3 linked regions of the Anolis sagrei genome follow. The protein of the gene in region 1 interacts with the protein of each later gene in a pairwise test. Links are inferred from orthologs where the notes say so. Each region holds a gene or a part of one and is shown on either strand. Other genes may lie near its edges.

Region 1 (7,725 bases):
AGCCATAACACATGGCGATTGGATGATGCTGTCAAAGAAAGGAAGCATTATTTGCTTAGTCCTTGCTTGTTTGATGCCTGTTACAAATGTATGGATCATAGGGAAGGGATCTATCAAATACTGCTTCAGTAATACATCTAATGGGGTCCACTGAACAGCAGATAAACTCATCTCCTGGTCTGTTCACTTTTATATAGGTTTTCCTGTCTTGTGTGTGCTTTCCAACAGAGCCACAGTATATTTGCTCCATAATTATGAGGCTATTATGTTCATATTAATATAAAAATGATTGGAGCAGATTCTTTCATCTAGTTCAGTGGTTTCCAACATATTGACTGTGGACCACCAGTAGTCTGCAAGAACTAAAATATGGTCCGTGGTATGGGCGAGCAAATGGTGACTACTGGATGGCATATGTTCTGTATCAGAAACTAGAGCTGATGTGGTCTATTCAATGCAATTTTCTGAATCAACACCCCAAATAACCAAACTGAATCTAAAGTTGACCAAAAACGGATTCATAACCATTTTGGTAATGTTGGAGAGTAGTCCCTGGTCAAAGTGGTCTCTGGCCAAATGGTCCCTGATTAAAAAAAAGGTTGGGAACCACTGATCTAGTTGGATGAAGAGATGGAGTGTGTCAGGGCTACAGATTTGCATCTGCCATGGATGTTACCATAGAACAGTGAATGGCCTACCTAGCTGTCCCCCATTAAAAAGAAAACAGAATCAACCTGGAATAATTCACCTATTGGCCATTTACTGGATGTGTTGCTGGATAAAATACATTCAGTTGAAGCTGGTGTCATAATGTAGTTATTTTAATCTTTTGAATATTGTTATTTTGATCTTTTGATCCAAAAATGGTTCTTAAGGCATTGAACGCCAGCCTTCAATACTTGTGAAGTTGAATGAGTAATATTCCAATGTAGTTTAGTGTAAGAATTGTCAATATCCCTTCAAAGAGACTCAGTGCAGTCTAAATATAATGTTTACTTTAAAGCTTCCTCTCAGGTTTTCGAGAGGTCTAAATCCATTACCATAGTGACTGAGAAGTAGGCAAGAATGTCAAGAGAATAATTTTTCTAGTATGTCAACATTTTTTACAGCTTAAGCCTGTAAAAGAAAATCCAGAATTTATCAGATATGTGCCTATGGGCTATTTTCAGTCAGGAATTGCTGTGGGTGATGTCATGGTTGAAGTGTTCATGGGTGGGCATCCACAGAAGCTTTATAGATTGATACCTTTTTTTCCTGAAAACAATTGAATAGATTTTCTTTTTGGGACTGGTGGATTTGTATGGCCATTTTGAAATGTTGAATAATTTCCCATTCTGTAGAAATTGGTGTAATATGATGTAATAGCAATTAATAGTTGTTTCTGATTCCCTCCCTTCACACACTGCCACAGAGAGAGACTATTGCTTTAAAGTGAAAAGGTTTCCTTATTCGTTTCAGCAGAGGGAAGCCTTCCAGGTTGATTGCCTTCATAAAGTCTGTCTGGACTAAGTAGTCAGACTAGGTATGTGAACGGCAAAGGGTGCATCTACACTGTAGTATGAATGCAGTTTGACTCCACTTTAACAGTCATGCCTCAATGTTGTGGAACTGCAGTGTATAGTTTGCTGAGGCATCAGCATTCTTTGGCAGAGAAGGCAAAAGACCATGTAAAACCACAATGCCCATGATTACATAGCGTTGATATCAAACTGCATCAATTCCACAGTGTAGAGCAGGGGTCCTCAAACTAAGGCCCGAGGGCCAGATACAGACCTCCAAGGTCATTTACCCGGCCCTCGCTCAGGGTCAACCTAAGTCTGAAATGACTTGAAAGCACACAACAACAACAACAACAACAATCCTATCTCATCAGCCAAAAGCAGACCCACACTTCCCACTGAAATACTAATAAGTTTATATTTGTTAAAATTGTTCTTCATTTTAATTATTGTATTGTTTTTAAGCCTTTTTTGCACTACAAATAAGATATGTGCAGTTTACATAGGAATTCATTCATGTTATTTTCAAAATTCAGTCCTCCTCCCCCCAATAGTTTGAGGAACTGTGACCTGGCCCTCTGTTTAAAAAGTTTGAGGACCCCTGGTGTAGAGTAACCCAAAGTGAGTCTGCTGCTTAATGAAAGCACCAGGGTGTATGTTCACCATAGAAATAATGGAGTTTGACAGCACTATTATCTGTCATGGACCAATGCTGTGGAATCAGTGGAGTTGTAGTTTTACAAGGTATTTAAGGTTCTTTGGCTGGTGCCTCACCAAATTATGACTTCCAGGATGGCATGGCCTTGAGTCTTAGTGGTTCAAGTGGTGTCAAACTTCCTTAATCAAACATTGTGCATCAGGCATGGGCAAACTTGGGTCCTCCAGATGTTTTGGTCTTCAACTCCCACAATTCCTAACAGCCTAACCTAAGCTGTTAGGAAGAAACCTAGGTTTCTTCTCCTAAAGGAAGGAACCATAAAATAAACAAAATCTGGCTACCAGTATTTAAAAAAACCACTAAAATTATAACAGCAAATAAAGAACAACACTCAAACACGGGGGAACTCCAGACAAGAAACTATCAGGAACAACTAATCACCTCTCGTCAAAAGATTTCCCCAGGCAGTAACAAGCCACACCTAAAAACTGCCAGGCCATTTAATGCTAAGGAAGATGGCCAATAGCAACATTCACACTTGCCTCAAACAGACAAGAGTTCTTTTTCCCACCCTGGACATTCCACAGACATATACATCCAATTTTCCTAGTTCTGAAAGACCTTAAAACTTCTGAGGATGGCTGCCATAGATGCAGGCAAAATGTCAGGAGATAATACTTCTAGAACAGTGTTTCTCAACATGGCGGTTGAGACCCCTGTGGGGTCATGAGGGGTGTCAGAGGGGTCACCAAGACTATCAGAAAACACAGTCATGGGTGTTCTGTGTGGGAAGTTTGGCCCAATTCTATCATTGGTAGGGTTCAGAATGCTCTTTGATTGTAGGTAAACTATAAATCCCAGCAACTACAACTCCCAAATGACAAGGTCTATTTTCCTTAAACTCCACCAGTGTTACATTTGGGCATATTGACTATTTGTGCCAAGTTTGGTCCACATCCATCATTGTTTGAGTCCACAGTGCTCTCTGGATGTAGATGAACTATAACTAACTACAAAACTCAAGGTCAATGCCCACCAAGCTCTTCCGGTATTTTTTGTTGGTCATGGGAGTTTTGTGTGCCAAGTTTGCTTCAATTCCATCATTGGTGGAGTTCAGAACGCTCTTTGATGGGAAGTTTGACTATCAATCCCAGCAACTACAACTCCCAAATGACAAAAATCAATCCCCCTCAACCCCACCAGTATTTAAATTTGGGCATATGGTGTATTTGTGCCAAATTTGGTCCAGTGAATGAAAATACATCCTGCATACAGTATCAGATATATACACCACAATTCATAACAGTAGCAAAATTACAGTTACAAAGAGGCAACGAAAATACTTTTATGGTTTGGGGTCACCACAATATGAGGAATTCTATTAAGGGGTTGTGGCATTAGGAAGGTTGAGAACCACTGTTCTAGAACATGGCCATAGAGCCCAAAAAACCTACAACAACCCAACCTACTGGCTGTTAGGAACTATGGGAGCCAGGCCCGTAGCCAGGATTTCGTTTCGGGGGGGGGGGGGCTGATTTTTTTTCAGGGGGGGGGTTCGGGGGGGCTGAGTTTCGGGGGGGGGCTGAGTCTGAGTGAAAGAGGGTCTAGCCTAGCAAATCTTTTGTATCATTACCCCAATACCCCATGCATATGGGATATATTGAGTAGGGTGATCAGATCATGATATGAATAAACATAACAGTTTAAATAATGCACCAATAAGGCCTTTTCGCGAACCACCATGAGAATTTCGGGGGGGGGGGGGCTGAAGCCCCCCGAGCCGCCCCCCCCCCCCGGCTACATGCCTGATGGGAGCTGAAGTTCAAAACACTTGGAGGGCCGAAGTTTGCCCATACTTGGTGTAGATACATCTTTGGTCACTCTTTGAGATGAATCTGTCAGTGCATCCTTACACGAAAGAGGGATGGAGGGCTGGTGCCTGTGAAATAGAAGTCATAGGAGTGGAAGATGCAATGTCCCTTGGAAGGTGACAACTTTCTCCATGAATCTTCAGGGGCGGGCCCGGGGTATGGATTCTTGGAGGAAATCAACAGCCCTGGACAGAAGTAAAATATGCAGCGTCTGGGCTTGACTCGTTTTTCCTAAGGAGGGGAATCAAAGAGAGAGAAATCCAAAGCCGCAGCCCTTCCAAAGCCCTCAGACGCCCTTCGCTCCGCTTCAGCACCTTGGACAGCGAGCGGCGCGCTAAGTCCCTCCCTGATCCCCTTCCCGGCTTTTTTTTTTTTCCGCCCTTGCCTTTCACTTAAGGCGACGGGGTCGCGAGCCAATGGGAAGCCGCCGCTGCGCTTCACGCCCCGCCTTTCCAGCCCCCGCTGCCCAATGGGAAGGGCGGAGCGGTGGGTGGAACGCTCCTTCTCGCCCACCTCTCTAGTTAAGGCTCCTGCTCGGCGGCGCCTGTGGCTCAGTTAGAGAGGCGCGAGGCAGAGAAGCCGAGGCAGGCATCCCGGGGCGCGCGCGTGTGTCTGGCGGGAGGGGGGCGCGCGCTGTCCAGGGTCCTGCAGCCAAGGGAGGCTTGCTCCAAGTCCGAGGGAAGGCAAGGAGCTCCCCGCGCACCACCTTTCGGGCAGGCAGCCGATCCCAAGTGCTGCCCGGTCTACTATGGAAGAGGAGAAATACCTACCCGAGCTGATGGCCGAGAAAGATAGCCTGGATTCGTCCTTTGTTCACGCGATGCGCCTTTTGGCAGAAGGTAGGAGGACTTTGAGGGGGCTCCTCTCCTCTGGCTGCCTTTCTGAGCCAAGGAGAAGCGGTGGCTGTTGCTGCTGAGGATTGAAATGTTGCATAGGCACTCAGATCCTACATAGGGACTGAGATCTTGCATAGGGACTCAGCTCTTACATAGGGACTGAAATCTTTCCTAGGGAAGCATTGGGACTGAGATCTTGTGCGAGGCCTCGGACTAAAGGAAGGGGGTTTGAAAAGGGGGAGAGAAAGGCGAAGATAGTCTTTCCCTTCCCCGTTGAGGAAGAGCCAAGGAGCTCTGTTGTTCTGGTCTGAGATCTACATAGAGACAGAGGCTGCTGAGACCAATGAGTCTGGTGGGAGGATTCGCCTTAGAGAAAGTGAAGGAGGAAAGCAACTGAGGGTGTAGCATTAATGCAGTTCCACACCACTTTGCCTGCCATGGTTCAAAGGGGATTGAAGTTTCACAAGGTCTTTAGCTTTCTCTACCAAATAGTGCTGGTGCCTCGCTAAAATACAGCTGTTATGATTCCATAGCCATGGCAGTGAAAGTGGTGCCAAACTGCATTATTTCCACAGTGTAGATGCACTCCTCCATCACCCCAGTGTCCATAACCTTCATCCAACTGTACTATAGAAGTATAGAGTTTGTGTCAATGGCCCCTATGTCCCTACTATTGCTTCCAGAGGAAGAGATACTGATAGGTTTCAATGGCAACACCCTATACTCAAGAGGATGATTTGTGTCCTCATAGACTCACCTCTCCATCAATCCAGTTTGCAAACAAATCAGCAACAATTTGGCATTTTGTGAAAGAGATCCAACTCAGCCATCTTTTTCTTTCTTTTTTCTAAGATGTACATTATTTTAGAAAGATTTTTTTCCAGATCATAAAAGTTTTATATATATATATACTTGAGAAAGAAAATGGAATGGCAGTAGTAATCCAAACAAGGATTGTTTCTATTTTTGAGAGCTACATTTCAAGCAACTCTTCCTGCCCAGTGTTATGACTAGTTAAATCGTAGCAAATACCCTTCGCTTATTAAAAAACACTCAAGACTTTTACCATCATGGACAATCATTTCCATGGGAATTATTTGTTTTCATAGGAAGCTTTTATTTCTTTTCGTGCTCCCTTTTTTTTTTTTAGTAAGAACTGCTCTGTTATCAGGTGTACTACTTTTGTAGTGGAAAAAGCTTTTGGACTCCAATTTTTATTTACAGAAAGACAGATGCAAAGTGTTTCATTAAAGCTGTTCCATCTTGGGCTGTTGTGTTAAATGTCCATATTATATGGGAAGAGCTAAATCCATCACAATGCCTGTGATTCGTGTCATTCCAGTTCATTTCAGTCTACTCTTGTTCTGGATTTGTTAAGTTTGTCAACTGCCAGGTTTACCCCATTTTGCTAGAATATCAAACTCTTGTAGTCATGTCAGGACTAATTAATTGTTGAAGAACTCACGAGCAAGTTACCAGAACTTTCCAAGTTGTGCCTTTGAATAACTGTATCTGAGTGTTGTTGAAGGCTTTCATGGCCTGAATCACTGGGTTGCTGTGAGTTTTCCAGGCTGTATAGCCATGTTATGCTTCTGGAACATGGCCATACAGCCCAGAAAACTCACAGCAACTGAGACTGTATTTGAGTTGAGAAGCACAGAAAATCACCACCAAAAGTATTCTCCCTGATTTCATCCATTGTCCATGTTATTAATATCTGTCTGTAAAATATAGTTAAATTGTTTAGTTTGATAGTATTGCTTTCCCTTTCAATTATAATATGATACTGGATCTTCATCCCATGTTATTGTTAGACTTGGAAGGGTTTGTAATGAAATGAAGTCAAATGCAAATAATTTGATAGAGATCTAACAGTGTCTGTATATGGAAATAAGATGTCAATATTCCAAAGAATCTGAATAATTATCTTAAAAACATGTAAGCAGGCATCAAACATACTTTATTTTAAAAGTCTTCAGGCTCTCATTTTAAAAGGGGATGCCAGATTTGTAAATGAGAGCTTTCCCATCATATACTCTTTTTTAAAGTATAGATTCCCCGCCAGAAATATGATTTGTGTGTGTAATTTGAAATTTTCCCAGCAGGGGGAACTATCTGCTGAGACACAGTAAAATCAGAAGAAAAGTGAAGGGTAGAGGACTTTGGGGAGGAATAAAATGGGGGGGGGGGGAATACAAAACTCTGTGGTTATTTTAAAACCTTTTAATAAAAGTGAGCCCATGCAGATGTATTTACATCTACCTTTCCCATTCAAGCTAAAATTCAGCTGCAAATGATGCACATATTTTAATAAATGTGCTACTCCCCGACCCCCCTCAAGTGTAGCTGTAGGTTAGGATATGTGGATATTAAACACAGACTAAGGTGAGTTGCTTAAGAAAGCAAGAGAGAGTACTAATGTGGGATTCACACCAGCTACCTTGCATTATCCTTCAAAACACCATCTGTCAAGGTTTCTGGAACTGTGTTTCAGATTTATGCAAAAATATAAAATGTCTGAAAGGCAAACTTTCAATAAAATGAGCACACCTAGAGCTGTGAAAACTATAGGCAGAGTGATGCATTTTATGTTGAAAGATTACCATGATGCTATCACCATTTATTTGAATGTCAGCAAAAAAGAAGACTATAGAGCAATTATATTGTATTAGCCTTTAAAATGGCATCTCTTACAATAATATAATATTAGTATGGACTGTTTGCCATTTTTGGATTCAAGGAGAGGTCCTTGATAACTTACAAAGCCTTCTTACTGCAACATATGACAATTAAGTGTACAAGCAAAGTCTTGTTTTACAATGCCTGGCATTTTTCACTTCACTTTTTAATCCTTAGCAGTT
Region 2 (7,768 bases), on another chromosome or scaffold:
ACAGAAAACAGTGCTTCTAGAGAACATGGCCTTACAGCCAAAAAACCCAGTGATTCCCGGCCATGAAAGCCTTCGACAATACAGAAAATTGTGGTTACTTACTGCCTCTGGTGATCCCTGATACCTTCGCACCCGCCCCCCCCCCCCCCGCCCGCCCAGATTGAAAAACACTGCGCTGCCCCAATATGGCGGCCACTCACCTTCCCATTCATGGCCATCATAGCATCTTTCGCGTCGTCAATGTTTTCAAAGGTCACAAATCCAAACCCTCGGGACCTCTGCGTTTCTCTGTCTTTGACCACAACCACTGGAAGGAAGGGAGGAGAGCGGGTCAATCCCTCTTCCTAATTAATTGGGCAAAGGATTCCCAAAATGTTACAGAGGGCAGATACATGGTTGTTACCTTCAGAGATCTGTCCATATTTGGAGAAGACCTGCTCCAGGGACTGTTCATTGGTGTCGAAACTGAGCCCGCCGACAAAGAGCTTCCCTTCGTCCGATGCCATTTCTCCTCCTGTGGGCCAGAAGAAGAAATTGCAGAATGTTTTAATTTACGGCATTTATATGCCACCCCTCTCATCCCAAAGGGGACTCAGAGTAGCTTATAATATATATTTCCATACAATATATTATATTATCAGCATAGTACAATATCAGTATTATATATTACTATATTGCACTATACCATTATATTGTAATATTATTAGTAATATTACATGTGATGTAAATATATAATTATAATATTGCATTATTATAAAGGTAAAGGTTGTTCCCTGACATTAAGTCCAGTCATGTCTGACTCTGGGGTGTGGTGCTCATCTCCATTTCTAAGCCGAAGAGCCGGCGTTGTCCATAGACACCTCCAAGGTCATGTGGCCAGCATGACCACATGGAGCACCATTACCTTCCCGCCGGAGCGGTACCTATTGATCTACTCACATTTGCATGTTTTTGAACTGCTAGGTTGGCAGAAGCTAGGGCTGACAGCGGAAGCTCATGCTGCTCCCTGGAATCAAACCTGCGACCTTTTGGTCAACAAGCTCAGCAGCTCAGTGCTTTAACCCACTGCGCCACCAGGGGGGGCGTATTATTATTACTAGTATTATATTGTATTACAATATAATATTATAAATATTATATGCACATACAATATACTATATTATATTATTAGTAAAGAGAGAAGACAAGATGTAAATGTCTTCTGCTCCCCTCTCTGTCTTTGCAACTGGTCCAACGAGCAGCGGCCAGGATGTTAACTGGGGCCCCTTACAGAGAGAGGTCAACCCTCCTGTTCAAGGAGCTCCACTGGCTGCCGTTTATTTTCCGAGCCCAATTTAAGGTGCAGGTGCTTACCTACAAAGCCCTGAACAGTTTGGGACCATCCTACCTGCGTGACCGCATCTCCGTCTACGAACCCACGCGTTCACTTTGGTCATCTGGAGAGGCCCTGCTCGCGATCCCGCCTGCGTCGCAAGCGCGTTTGGTGGGGACACGAGACAGGGCCTTTTCTGTGGTGGCCCCCCGACTCTGGAACACCCTCCCCAAAGATCTTAGACAGGCCCCTACCCTGGCAGTCTTTAGAAAAAACTTGAAGACCTGGCTGTTCTGATGTGCCTTCCCAGAATAGGAAATCTCCAATACCAAGTCCCAGAAGCACTTTATTAAAACTAAGATTGCTGCACGCTGCACACTGCACTTGCCCTATAAGCCTTATATCCCACCTGTCACATCAGCACTTTTAATCCTGTACCCATTACTCTGGCCAGGCCCAGGTTCACTGTGTCCTAGTGTATTGTTTATTGCTTTGATTGTTTTTAATTTGTCTTGGGTTTTGTATTGTTATGTTGTGTATTGAGGCCTTGGCCTTTGTAAGCCGCATCGAGTCCTTCGGGAGATGCTAGCGGGGTACAAATAAAGTATTAATAATAATAATAATAATAATAATAATTTGCTCTGGCCAGAGCAGCTTATGGTGCAAGAGGGGGGGGGGGCTCCCAATTCCTTGGGCCAAATTCAGCCCTCCCTCCAAGTGTTTTGGACTTCAACTCCCACCATTCCTAACAGCCTCAGGAAAAGGAAGGGGTCTGTGGCCAGGGCCGTAGCCAGAAAAACTTTTTGGGGAGGGTTGACAATTTGGGAGGGGGGGTGTGTGAAAATTTTAGGGGGGGTTGAAAATGTCGGGGGAGGGGGTGGAAACCTGCCTCCTAGCTCACGCTGAAGCAAAGAGCACAGCAGGGGGCAGAGCAACCTTCAATAGCCTGCAGCTCCACCCCTGTCAACCACCTCCACCAAGTCTGGCCTCCTTAATGAGAGCATTCAACACTCCCCTCCAACTTGGTTGCTTCACTACATCGGCAATTGCTGCAAGTAATGGCAGTGTGAATAAATTGTCAATATTTGCTTGAGATATTGCTTGCAGTTCTGGAGGGACTCTTAATTTTTTGCATCTCATAGACTTAGCATGGGGATTTGGGTAACCAGTTAAAATTCATGAGCAAACCAGTTTTTTTAAAAAAAAAATCTGAAACATTTCGGGGGGGGTTTGAACCCCTAAAACCACCCCCTCGCTACAGGCCTGTCTGTGGCTGTTAGGAATAATGGGAGTTGAAATCCAAAACACCTGGAGGGCCCAATTTGGCCTAGGGCTGTCTGAAAGTGACAGAATCTAATCTGCGCATGCGCGCAGCGTGGCCTCTGCCCAGTAGAGGGCGCACCTCCGCTCTCTCCCTCCTCGAAGGCGCAACGCCGCCTCGCGCACTTCCTCGCGCCATTTTGCGCCTTCCTCCCAAAAGCCGGCCGGACGCCATTTTATTCCCCTCCGTCGACCAAAACAAGCTCTTCCGCGCAATTCCCCTCGAGCGAATCCCTACTCAGTTCCCCCAGTTGAACATTCCTGCACTCGGAATGCTTTGGAGTATTTAAATATATTCGCCCTCCTTTGAAAATCTCTTACCGAGTGATGTGTCCTTCTCCTCTTGTCTCCTACAGAAAGCTACACGCGCTCTTCAACAACCAAATGCGAACTGCGCAGGAGCGCCCCCGTGCGGCGCCTTATATACCCGCCCGCGGGGCCCCGCCCACCTCATGCGTATGCAGCACGGCGCTTCCCCGGATAGACGCTTCTCCCCGGCCGTGAGGCAACGCTCCATCGAGCTTCCCATTGGCTAAAGCCTGATTAATATTCAAAACAGGAAGGATGCGCGAATTGTGATTGGGCGAGCCGGAATAAAAAAGGGATGAGGGTGGTGTTGACAAGGGCAACAAGCCCCGCCTCTCTTTTGGACGAGCGGAGCGATTGGACGGTTCCTCAGCTCCGCCTCAAAACCCGTGTCTGAGGCAGAGGAAGGAGGCGTGGCCACGCTGGCCTACATTCGCGCCTTGTTGTCAGCAATGCGGCTCAGGTTTGCCGCAATGAACGGGGAAGGGAGGGGGGGAAGGGTGTCATCTTGGGGAAGCCAGACAAGACGATTTTAAGCAGTGCATTTCAACAACAGAGAGTAAACAATCAGGCACATCAATTCACTCTCAACAAGAGATTCCCCCCAGGCGCTTCCAGGCCATTGAATGCAAATCAAGGTGATCAGCTGAAACATTACCCTGGTCATTCCACAGATATATAAACCCATTTTTCCTAATTCCAACAGACCTCACTATTATTTATTTATTTACTTTACTTGTATACCGCAGTTTCTCAGCCTAACCGGCGACTCAACACGGTTTACAACAAGGATAAAATCAATCAACGATATACAGTTTAAAACCATAAGAGCACAATATACAATATTACACAACAGTAACAACACAATGCATCTCATTACTAGAGTCGTGATCCAAATTCGTCGTCCATATTTCCATTCCTGTAATTGTCACATTCATTGCACTGATTAACCAAATGCCTGTTCAAACATCCAAGTTTTTAATCTTTAACACCATTAGCGAGGGAGCTGATCTTACCTCCATGGGAAGGGCGTTGCACAGCCGAGGGGCCACCACCGAAAAGGCCCTGTCTCTCGTCCCCGCCAGCCGCACCTGTGAAGCAGGCGGGATAGAGAGCAGGGCCTCCCCAGAAGATCTCAGGGTCCTGGCGGGCTGATAGGCAGAGATACGTTCGGATAGGTAGCTTGGGCTACCTCACTACCTCTGAGGATGCTTGCCATAGATGCAGGCGAAACGTCAGGAGAAAAATTGCCTCCAGAACATGGCCATATAGCCCGGAAAAACCTACAACAACCCAGTGTATTTTAATATTGATACAAATATTTGTGATGTTTATGTATTCATATAATGAATTCATGTCCTAGCATTGAATGTTTGCCATGTATATGGTGTGCTCCGCCCTAAGTCTCCTTCGGGTTTTATTTATTTTTTTGTCGTGTCGGGAGCAAGTCGCTTCTGGTGTGAGAGAATTGGCCGTCTGCAAGGACGTTGCCCAGGGGATGCCCAGATGTTTTGATGTTTTTATCATCCTTGTGGGAGGCTTCTCTCATGTCCCCGCATGAGGAGCTGGAGCTGATAGAGGGAGCTCATCCGCCTCTCCCCGGATTCGAACCTGCGACCTGTTGGTCTTCAGTCCTGCCGGCACAAGGCTTTAACCCACTGCGCCACCGGGGGCTCCTTCGGGGTATTTATTTTATTTATCGTGTCATCCACAACCAGAACATGGTATTACATTTCTAACAGAACAAAACAAACAAACATTAAAAAAACACAAATTTTGCAAACTTGGTAGTTGATTAAATGTCCTTTGACCAGTATCTGGCCACTTGGAGTGCCTCTGGTGTTGCCGCAAGGAGGTCCTCCATCGTGCATGTGGCAGGGCTCAGGTTGCATTGCAGCAGGTGGTCTGTAGTTTGCTCTTCTCCGCACTCGCATGTCGTGGATTCCACTTTGTAGCCCCATTTCTTAAGATTGCCTTTGCATCTCGTGGTGCCAGAGCGCAATCTGTTCAGCGCCTTCCAAGTCGCCCAGTCTTCTGTGTGCACAGGAGGGAGTCTCTCATTTGGTATCAGCCATTGGTTGAGGTTCTGGGTTTGGGCCTGCCACTTTTGGACTCTCGCTTGCTGAGGTGTTCCAGCGAGTGTCTCTGTAGATCTAAGAAAACTATGTCTTGATTTAAGTCGTTGACGTGCTGGCTGATACCCAAACAGGGGATGAGCTGGAGATGTCTCTGCCTTGGTCCTTTCACTATTGGCTGCTACTTCCCGGCGGATGTCAGGTGGTGCAATGCCGGCTAGACAGTGTAATTTCTCCAGTGGTGTAGGGCGCAGACACCCCGTGATAATGCGGCATGTCTCATTAAGAGCCACATCCACTGTTTTAGTGTGGTGAGATGTGTTCCACACTGGGCGTACTCAGCAGCAGAGTAGCATAGCGCAAGGGCAGATGTCTTCACTGTATCTGGTTGTGATCCCCAGGTTGTGCCAGTCAGCTTTCGTATGATATTGTTTCTAGCACCCACTTTTTGCTTGATGTTCAGGCAGTGCTTCTTGTAGGTCAGAGCACGGTCCTGAGTGACTCCCAGGTACTTGGGTGCGCTGCAATGCTCCAGTGGGATTTCTTCCCAGGTGATCCTCAGAGCTCGGGATGCTTGTCTGTTCTTAAGGTGAAAGGCGCATGTCTGTGTTTTAGATGGATTAGGGATCAGCTGGTTTTCCCTGTAGTAGGCAGTAAGAGCACCTAGAGCTTCGGAGAGCTTCTGTTCTACCATCTCAAAGCTCCCTGCTTGAGTGGTAATGGCACGATCATCAGCATAGATGAAACTCTCTGTCCCTTCTGGCAGTGGCTGGTCATTTGTGTAGATGTTGGGCAGAATATAAATATTTGAAATAAATAATAAATAAAGCCAGGAGAGCCTGGAAGCCCCCCCCCCCCCCATACCCCATGTGGAGAGGGGAAGTCATGGGCCAGCCTTGCCGCTTCTGCACTGGGAGCAAGCTCCTTTTCCGCCTCGAAGCAACATTTCCTCCAATGTTTCCTCCAACTTTCGCCTCAGAAACCTATCTTTTCCTTCATCTTTCCCCTCAGAAACAATGTTTCATCCAACTTTCTCCTCAGAAACCTATCTTTTCCTCCGTCTTCCTCCTCAGAAACAATGTTTCTTCCAACCTTCTCCCCAGAAACCTATCTTTTCCTCCGTCTTCCTCCTCAGAAACAATGTTTCTTCCAACTTTCTCCTCAGAAACCTATCTTTTCCTCCGTCTTCCTCCTCAGAAACAATGTTTCTTCCAACTTTCTCCTCAGAAACCTATCTTTTCCTTCATCTTTCCCCTCAGAAACAATGTTTCCTCCAACTTTCTCCTCAGAAACATATCTTTTCCTTCATTTTTCCTCTCAGAAACACATTTCCTCCACCTTCCTGCTCAGAAGCACAGCATCTTAGGAATCTTAATTTCAAACGGGTTTTAGATTTTTTTAAAAAAATATTGTGTGTTTATAGGTCACAACAACATCTGTTATAGAATTCCAGTATGCCGATGGCAATGTAGTCTCTGCGCATTCAGAAGAAGACCTACAAGCCACACCTTTGCAGACATATGAAATGCTCAGCGTCTCATTGAACATCAAGAAAACCAAAGTGCTCTCCCAGCAGTTGACCACTTCTGCTCCCTTGGCAGCCACTTCTCCACAAAAGTTAACATTGACACTGAAATACAACACTGCCAGAGCTCTGCAAGTGCAGCATTCTTCTGAATGAGGATCGGGACATCCGTAGTGATACCAAGGTGCTTGTTTATAAAGCTGTTGTCCCCCCAACCCTGTTCTACACCTGCAAAATGTGGGCTGTCTGCAGACATCACACTCAACTCCTGGAACGATTTCATCAGCATTGCCTCCCAAAAATCCTGCAAATATCTTTGGAATAAGACAGGCGGACAAATGTCAGCATGCTGGAAGAAGCAAAGACCACCAGCATTGAAGCGATGTTCCTATGCCATTCACTCCGCTGGAATGGCCACGTTGTCCAAATGCCCGTCTCCCAAAGCAGTTATTCTACTCCCAACTCAAGAAGAGAAAATGTAATGTTCATGGACAGGAAAAGAGTTTTAAAGATGGGCTTAAAGCCAATCTTAGAAACTGTGGCACAGACACCGAGAACTGGATGCTCTAACTGGAGGTCAGCTGTTACCAACAGTGCTGTGGAATCTGAAGAGGCACAAATGGAGGGTGAAAAGGAGGAACGTGTCAAGAGGAAGGCATGTCAAGCCAACCCTGACCGAGATGGCCTTCCACCTGGAAAGCAATGCCCTCACTGTGGAAAAACATGTAGATCAAGAACAGCGCTCCACAGTCACCCATGGACCCACTGACAAGAAGGCCATCAGACTTGGACAATGAGGGATCACCTAAGTAAGTAAGATATGCAGTGGTTGAGACTGCCAGTATTTTTTGCTGGTCATGGGGTCTTTGTTTGGTCCAATTCCATCTTTGGTGAAGTTCAGAGTGCTCATTGATTGCTATAAATGAACTATAAATCCAAGTAGGAGCCCCCGGTGGAGCAATGGGTGCCAGCAGGACTGAAGAGCGATGGGTCAGAGGTTCAAATCAGGGAAAGTGTGGATGAGTTCCCTCTGTCAGTTGCAGCTCCCCATGCGGGGACATAAGAAAAGCCTCCCACAAAGATGGTAAAGCATCAAAACATCCTGATGTCCCCTGGGCAACGTCCTTGCAGATGGCCAATTCTCTCACACCAGAAGAGACTTGTAGCTTCTCAAGTCGGTTCTGACATGAAAAAAAAAATTCCAAGTAGCTACAACTCCAAAATGTCCAG
Region 3 (7,310 bases), on another chromosome or scaffold:
GAATCAACTGCAGACCAGTGGGGGGAGAACTTAACCCTGAAGAAACAACTTGGAACAAGAACTTGTCTGAACTGTGAAGAGCTGGATCAAAACATGGCCTAACTACTCCATCAGAGTACACCAGCTACAAGAAGCCACAATTTAAAGAAATTTGGGAGAAATCAATAGTTCCAGAGATGTAGCTAGAAGTCAGGCATAGGCCACTAACATGAATTATGCGTAGTTTTGAAAGGATCAGATCTGATGGGAACAGACTGAGCTCTACCCAGTTTTGCATTTTAGCAATAAACTGACACGGTTGTTGGTGCCAAAACATATCTCATACTGTACAATTCTTAAGACTAGAAATGATGCCTATAAAGGCACAAAGTGTGATAAGTGAAATATTAATGCTGTGCAAATTCTTTATCGGATTGGGCTAAAATCCATTAAGTAAATAGGAAATGAAATAAAGCCAAATATAGCAGGACAAGTCTTATACCTGCAAGCAAACGATTGTTTTGTCTTGTATACTTAAAATAGGACAGCTTAAAAGAGTTAACAAAATTAACAACTTTCACATTCTTACCTCTCCATTCATGGCTCTCATGGCATCGGATGCATGCTCAGGATTGGCAAAGGTGATGAAACCAAAGCCCCTTGATCTTTGGGTCTCTTTGTCCTTGATCACAACAACTAGGAGAACAATACAAAAGTGGGAGATTCACTTAACACTTTCATGATTATACAAAAAGGTAAATTTCCTCTACCAGAAATACCCAGAACTTGCTTACCTTCCGAAATGGGACCAAAGGAGCTGAAATGCTGCTCCAGGCCTTGTTCATCAGTATCAAAGTTCAGCCCCCCAACAAACAGCTTTCCTTCTTCAGAAGACATGATGGTGATGAGGAGGGTTCTAAAGAAAAGACATGCAACAAAGGAAAAGAATATGGATTAGGAGTTGATATAGGTCCCATCTATCCTGACCACTTAAGGTAATTTCAAAACAGTATTGAACAAAATGGTTTCACTGGGCAGACGATTACACAGGAAATCCTGGAATCTGCCTGTGGCCCATGCGGTGATCATGCAAACCAGAGCACTGCTGCACTTTTTGTGGGAGCTTGTTGACTATCAGTTTAAAGCCAGTGTCACACTGCATTAAATGGACTACATAGATGGGCCCAGCTGCAAAGCACCACCTTTTAAGGAGAAACATACTGTTTTTGATCATTTTTTTTATCAATTTGTTTCTACTGTACTTACACAATTTGTTAATAATGCTTTAGTAGGGTAGGCTGGCTGCCAATGTTTCAGAGTCCGATTCAAGGTGATGGTTTTGACCTTTAAAGCCCTAAACCAGTGGTTCTCAACCCGTGGGTCCCAAGGTGTTTTGGCCTACAACTCCCAGAAATCCCAGCCAGTTTACCAGCTGTTAGGATTTCTGCGAGTTGAAGGCCAAAACATCTGGGGACCCACAGGTTGAGAACCACTGCCCTAAAAGGTTCAAGCCCAACTTACCTATCTGACTGCATCACCTCTTACCAACCTGCCCGATCATTAAGATCTGGGGAGTTGCCACCGCCAGAAATACAGGCGGTGGTGAGAGAGGGCATTCTCAGTAGCTGCCGGCCCTTTTGAACTCCCTCCCCTTCCATTATCTTTCAAGAACCAGCTGAAGACCTACCTGTTCAAGCAAGCTTTTGGCAAATGAATTCAATTGCTAATGACAGCAAGATTGTTTGCACTGAGCTTAGCAAAATATACCATTTAACTGAAGAGTCTCCACAAAGATTGTAATTGGTTATAAATGTTTAATATTTATTTCTATCTTAGTTCTGGATGTTATTATGTTTTGTGGGATTTTTTGGTCTTGTATTTTATGTTAAATGTGCTTTTCACTTGTATTGTGTTGTGAGCCGCTTTGGGTACCATCAGGGAGAAAATCAGGATCAAAATTATTGGATTATGTGATTTTAATATTCATACTATGTTTTAATGCTTTAAAATGTTTATTTCTGATGTTTAATGGTTTTAATGATTTTATAGTTATATATTAGTGTTTAGTTATGATTTTTTGTCTACATCTATGTTGGCATTGAATTTTTGCCATTAGTATGTTGAGTCGTCGTCCCCCCCCCCCGTGAGAAAAGCAGTATATAAATATAGTCAATATATAAAAGTAAACCGCCTTGCCCCCCCCCCCCCGGGGTGAGAATAGCAGTATATATAGTTAATAAATAAAATATTATTTTTAGGCTTAAATTCACGGCCTGATCTCAGGGAGGACTAAATTGTAGTCCCATAACTGATACCTCATGTGTTTCTGGGAAGATCACATAACTATCCCTTCCCATTGCTAAATCCACGGATTCATTTCCTGAAGCTCCAGTTCGGGGCTTGTTTTCAAAAATCAAAACGTCTGTAAATATCCCAAGTCTCATTCTCTTGGTAAATAAATAGAAAAGGAGGAAGCTGCCCGGGAGGGAGGGAGGACAAAATGCCTGCCTGCCTTCCTCCCCGCCTCCATTTCCCCGCCCCGAGCGCCATCTTGTTAACCCCAGCTCCAACAAGAGGGGCCTCTGGAGCGTCAAAGATGGCGGCGGCGGCAGCGCTGCCTGTTTGGAGGCCTCGCGCCCAACGGCCGCTTTCGCCTCGCGGAGGGGCCCCAGCCAGCCCTTCCGTTTCTTCACTCTTTTCCTCCCCCGCATGCGCAACGCCCACCGCGCGCGCAGCCGCCTCCACCACCACCACCAAGCGATAATTTCCACGCATGCGCAGACACCCTACATTCCCGAGGCTTCTCGAAACGTGCTTGCGCTTTGTAAAAGACGGCCTGGCTATTCTTTCCTGCTTTATCCCATTCACCCGCTATTCAAGAACGGCAGCGGACGCTGTCCTTTTTAATAATATGGGAGGATTAACATTCCTTCCATTTCCCACCAAAACAACCCATTATTTTCGACCCCCGCCTTACCAAAAAGGTGTTAACAGCACTGGAGCAGCGGAAAATGCGGCCGAGGCACCGCCCGCTCGACGCTTATATAGGGGTCCGCCCATGAGGGAGGGCCACGTGACCGCTGCCGCTCCTTTTATGGGCATCGGCGCCTGCGCGTGCGCCTTGGTGGGACTTTTCGCCCAATCGCTTTGCCCGAAAGGACGCGGGGAGTGCGGGGACATCCGGGTATTTGTTCAACTTTCTCCCTCCAAAGCACATTTTAAACAAATTGCGTAGGGAAAGATTTCCGCCCCAGTCCGGCGTCCTTTTGTCACGCAGGGAAATTAAAATGTCGCTTGCTTACTTCCGGCCAGGATTCGATTTCGAAAAGGGAAAGGGGTGGGGGCAGAAATGGAAGGGAAACCAACGCAATCACAACAGGGATTTGGCAAGGCATTTATTATTATTATGATAGTTGTTAGCCACAGGACTTCAGGACGTCCAACCACACGATCCTTGCAAAGAAATGGAGGGGCCCAGTGCTCTTCTAGGCCCTTCCACGCAGGCCCCACATCCTGGGATCTGAGCCCAGCTTTTCTGCTTTAAACTGGATTAAGAGAATGAATGCACTTTAAATCCGGTTACTGCCTCCTGCAGAATTGTGTGGTTTGTGGTTTAGAGGAGGAGCCTTCTCATTGTGTGGCCAAAGTACTTCATCTTTGCCTCCAACATCCTTCCCTCCAGTGAGCAGCCAGGCATTATTTCCTGGAATATGGACTGGTTGGATCTTCTCGTGGTCCAAGGCACTCTCAGAACTTTCCTCCAACACCACAGTTCAAAAACATCTCAGTCTTCACTGAGAGGCCTGATTTAAAACTCTCTTGCCCCACATTTGTATTTTTCCTTTATTTTTTGTTAACAGATAAAGAATCTGTTGTGGCTGGATCTCTGTCTGAAATTAGAATTAATAGCAGCAGCCATATGAACCAATATTCATCTCAAGACTGGACTACTGTAATGCCCTCTACATTGGCCTTCCTCTGTCGGTGATCCGGAAGCTCAAGTTGGTACAAGATGCAGCTGCTCGGCTTCTTGTGGGAATTCCGATGAGATGCCACATCACCCCAATCTTTCTGCAGCTGCATTGGTTACCGATTGAGCACCAGATCACTTCCAAAGTGATGGTACTCACCTTTAAGGCCTTGCATGGTCTGGGGCCGATGTATCTGAGGGACCGCCTCACCCCCTACCAACCCCAGAGATCCCTCCGTTCTGAGGACCAAGATCTATTGGAAGTCCCCAGTGTCAAGACCTTGCGCCTAACAGCAACCAGACACAGAGCCTTCACAGCAGTGGCACCATCACTCTGGAATACTCTGCCACCTGAAGTATGTGCCTTGCAGGACTTACCAGCTTTCCGCAGGGCATGTAAGACATACCTGTTTCGACAGGCTTTTAATGATTGATATTGTTGTTTTTAAATTGTTTTAAATTGCTTTTAAATTTTGTTAGATTTTAGCTATTCTTGTAAGCCGCTCCGAGCCCCAGGGGAGTGGCGGCATATACGTTTAAATAAATAATAAAATAATAATAATAATATTCTGAATTTTTGTTTTTTATTGCCTTTAAGTTTTCTCTGCCTAAGATGAACCAATCACAAGGTTTTCTTGGCAAGACGTGCAGTGGGGGTTTCCATGGCCTTTCTCTGAGGTTGAGAGAGTGTGGCTTGTCTAAGGTCACCCAGCGGGTTTCCATGGCTGAGCGGGAATTCAAAACACGTTCTCCTGAAGTGCTAGTCCAAAGATCATAGTGTTACTCCATACAAACGTCCTTATTTAGAATAAGGAAAGGTCTTAGACACGCAAAACTACAACAGAAAGGACCACCAGAGAGATAGAGAGAGACCAAGCATGAGGATACTCCAAACTGGCTAAAAGTAAATTAGACAAGTCATATATATATTTATGAACTGGTAGATAATCAGTAATCTAAATTCTGTGTGTGTGTGTATGTGTGTAAAATCTAAAAGTAAAAATATGTATGTATCAATGTACGCATGTATTTTGTATGCACAATTTTCCAGGATAGCTCCCAAATCCAGAACCTTATCACACTAGAGGAGTGGTTCTCAACTGTAGGTCCCCAGGTGTTTTGGCCAGAAATCCTAACAGCTGCTAAACTGGCAGGGATTTCTGGGAGTTGTAGGCCAAAACACCTTGGGACCCACGGGTTGAGAACCACTGCACTAGAGAATGAATCCACTCAAAACCCGGTTTCTACCTCCTGCACAATTCTGGGGTTTGTAGTTTAGAGAGGGGCCTTTAACAGCCTCAGTAAGCTACAAACCCCAGAATTGTGAAGGCAGAAACCGGATTTTAAGAGGAATCATTCTCTAGTGCGATGAAGTAGTATATGAGTCCACACGACCAGATAATCTGGGATAAACAGAAAACCTCTGATATGATCCTGGGATATAAGGCCTGTCTAGAAGGGCCCTGTGTTTACCCTACTGAAGGATGCCTTTTGCTGGTGATTTTGCATTTTAGGTAAAGCGGAACATAGCTATTGCAACTATTGGGCAAGGAAAAAGAAAAGTAAAAGGAGAAGTGTGTATACTGGAGGCCCTGCCACACAGCCATATAACCCAGAATGCCAAAGCAGGTAATCCACAATATTTGCTTCGAATTGTATTATCTGAGTCTACACTGCCAGATAATCCAGTTCAGTGTGGATTTTCTACAGCTGTGTAGAAAATGTGTGTGTGTGTGTGTGTGTGTGTGTGTATAGAGAGAGGGGCGGGTGGAGTTGGCTCTCTGTATCCACAGTCTCCATCCATGAATTCAATGGCTGTTTGAAGGAACTATCAGGCTGATATGGCGTTTATGAAAATGAGTTTGACAGCCCTGTTCCAGATTGTTAATTTGGGATTACAATAAATCCACAGGTGTAGTGTTCAATTCTGAAGCGCCAGCTGTAATCATGTCAGTCCCTTTAGCTACATTTGCAAGGAGAGTCCCAAAACAGCTCTGTTGGACTATTTTTTTCCAAATCAACTCCACCGGAAGCAGGTCTTTTGCATATCCAATGGATCTTGCTCATCAAAGGTCAAGCCACACCCAAATACTTTGATTTATAATAGAGTGTTATTAAATCCATTTTCCCGTAGAGAAAATCAGGCCCCTTCTACATAGCTGTATAAAATCCACATTGAACTGGATTTATGGCAGTGTGGACTCAGATAACCCAGTTCAAAGCAGATATTGTGGATTATCTGCCTTGGTATTCTGGATTATATGGCTGTGTGGAAGGGCCCCCAGAGGAAACAGGAATGTAAGGGGATGGCAAATGACATCAGAGCCATGCTATTCAAAAAACCCTGTGGCTCCACTACACTACTAAGTATAAGGCCTAAGAAATGTAGCCAAAAACATGTGTATGCGCTGAATGCACATTTTCAGAAATGCCACTAAACTGTCACAGCTCTTTCATAGCAAAGGCATGGGTATTCCTCAGCAGATAGGTTGCCATGAACTTGGCAGGGGCCAAGATAAGGTGTCACACTCTGGCTTTTCCTTAAGAGTGGCTTTGTGTTCCCCATGTTTATGTGTGTTATCCCCACCTGGATGCACCTTATTCATATTTTTGCAAGCAAAGAGACCCTCAGTTCCAAAGGGTGCTGGGATCAAGGCTCAGTGAGATCATGGAAGGTGGGGAAGTTACTGTGGGAGACCCAATGGTGCGCAGAGGGGTGTACCAGTCTTCGTGAGTGCGGGAAGTTTGGGGGCATGGGAACTGAGTTGGAGCTCCAGATGGAGTTGCGGGAGGCAGAGTATAATTAGAAGGAAAACGAGGCAGGTGATGGTGTGGCCCAAGGGTGGGTGGGTACTGATACTGCCGCGTTGGAGGCGTGGGAAGGGGACAGACAGAGAGGACGCCCGTGGTGGCAGATTTGGGGAACGCTCGTTCCTGTTTTCGCTGTTTTGCTCGTCGATTCTGGAACCAAACCTGTGAAAAGAAAATGAGACCAAATGTATATTGTGAAGTACAATCAGACTTACACGCTTGCTGGGGTTAGGGTTTGTGAATGCCTGTAAAAGTGGAAAACCATTAAAATGTTTTTTTAACCCATAAGAGTACCTCTCTAAGACTCTCTGTGGTCTATCTTATATTGAGCTTATATTCCAGGATCTGATCCCAGATTCTCTGCTCTGAACTAGATTATATGTGTCTCCAATGCCATATAATCTGGGATAAGCAGAAAATCTGGGATCAGATCCTGGGATATAGGGCAGTGTAGAAGGGGCTTGTATCTTCCAGTATGGCACTCTCTCAACAAGACCCTACATTCTCTAGTGCAGGGGTTCTCAAACTAAGGCCCGGGGGCCGGATACGG

The links. The genes of interacting proteins can lie anywhere in the genome.
Region 2: the proteins of KHDRBS2 (region 1) and CIRBP interact in binary tests that used the Homo sapiens proteins (3 or more experiments, as listed by UniProt). The two-hybrid records come from large-scale screens. The link is inferred for Anolis sagrei from reciprocal best matches to the Homo sapiens genes KHDRBS2 and CIRBP.
Region 3: the proteins of KHDRBS2 (region 1) and RNA-binding protein 3-like interact in binary tests that used the Homo sapiens proteins (3 or more experiments, as listed by UniProt). The link is inferred for Anolis sagrei from reciprocal best matches to the Homo sapiens genes KHDRBS2 and RBM3.

The regions. Positions count from the first base shown.
Region 1 is NC_090021.1:117,775,316-117,783,040, forward strand, and holds the start of KHDRBS2 (KH domain-containing, RNA-binding, signal transduction-associated protein 2), read left to right. Parts: upstream 1-4,687; 5' UTR 4,688-4,776; coding exon 4,777-4,867; intron 4,868-7,725. UniProt on the Homo sapiens protein: RNA-binding protein that plays a role in the regulation of alternative splicing and influences mRNA splice site selection and exon inclusion. Binds both poly(A) and poly(U) homopolymers. Phosphorylation by PTK6 inhibits its RNA-binding ability.
Region 2 is NC_090034.1:60,015,510-60,023,277, reverse strand, and holds the start of CIRBP (cold-inducible RNA-binding protein), read right to left. Parts: upstream 3,063-7,768; 5' UTR 2,954-3,062; intron 515-2,953; 5' UTR 507-514; coding exon 404-506; intron 308-403; coding exon 201-307; intron 1-200. UniProt on the Homo sapiens protein: Cold-inducible mRNA binding protein that plays a protective role in the genotoxic stress response by stabilizing transcripts of genes involved in cell survival. Acts as a translational activator.
Region 3 is NC_090022.1:194,292,394-194,299,703, forward strand, and holds the start of RNA-binding protein 3-like, read right to left. Parts: upstream 3,063-7,310; 5' UTR 2,957-3,062; intron 896-2,956; 5' UTR 877-895; coding exon 774-876; intron 676-773; coding exon 569-675; intron 1-568. Other genes in the region: homeobox protein prophet of Pit-1-like, read right to left, coding at 6,578-6,922. UniProt on the Homo sapiens protein: Cold-inducible mRNA binding protein that enhances global protein synthesis at both physiological and mild hypothermic temperatures. Reduces the relative abundance of microRNAs, when overexpressed.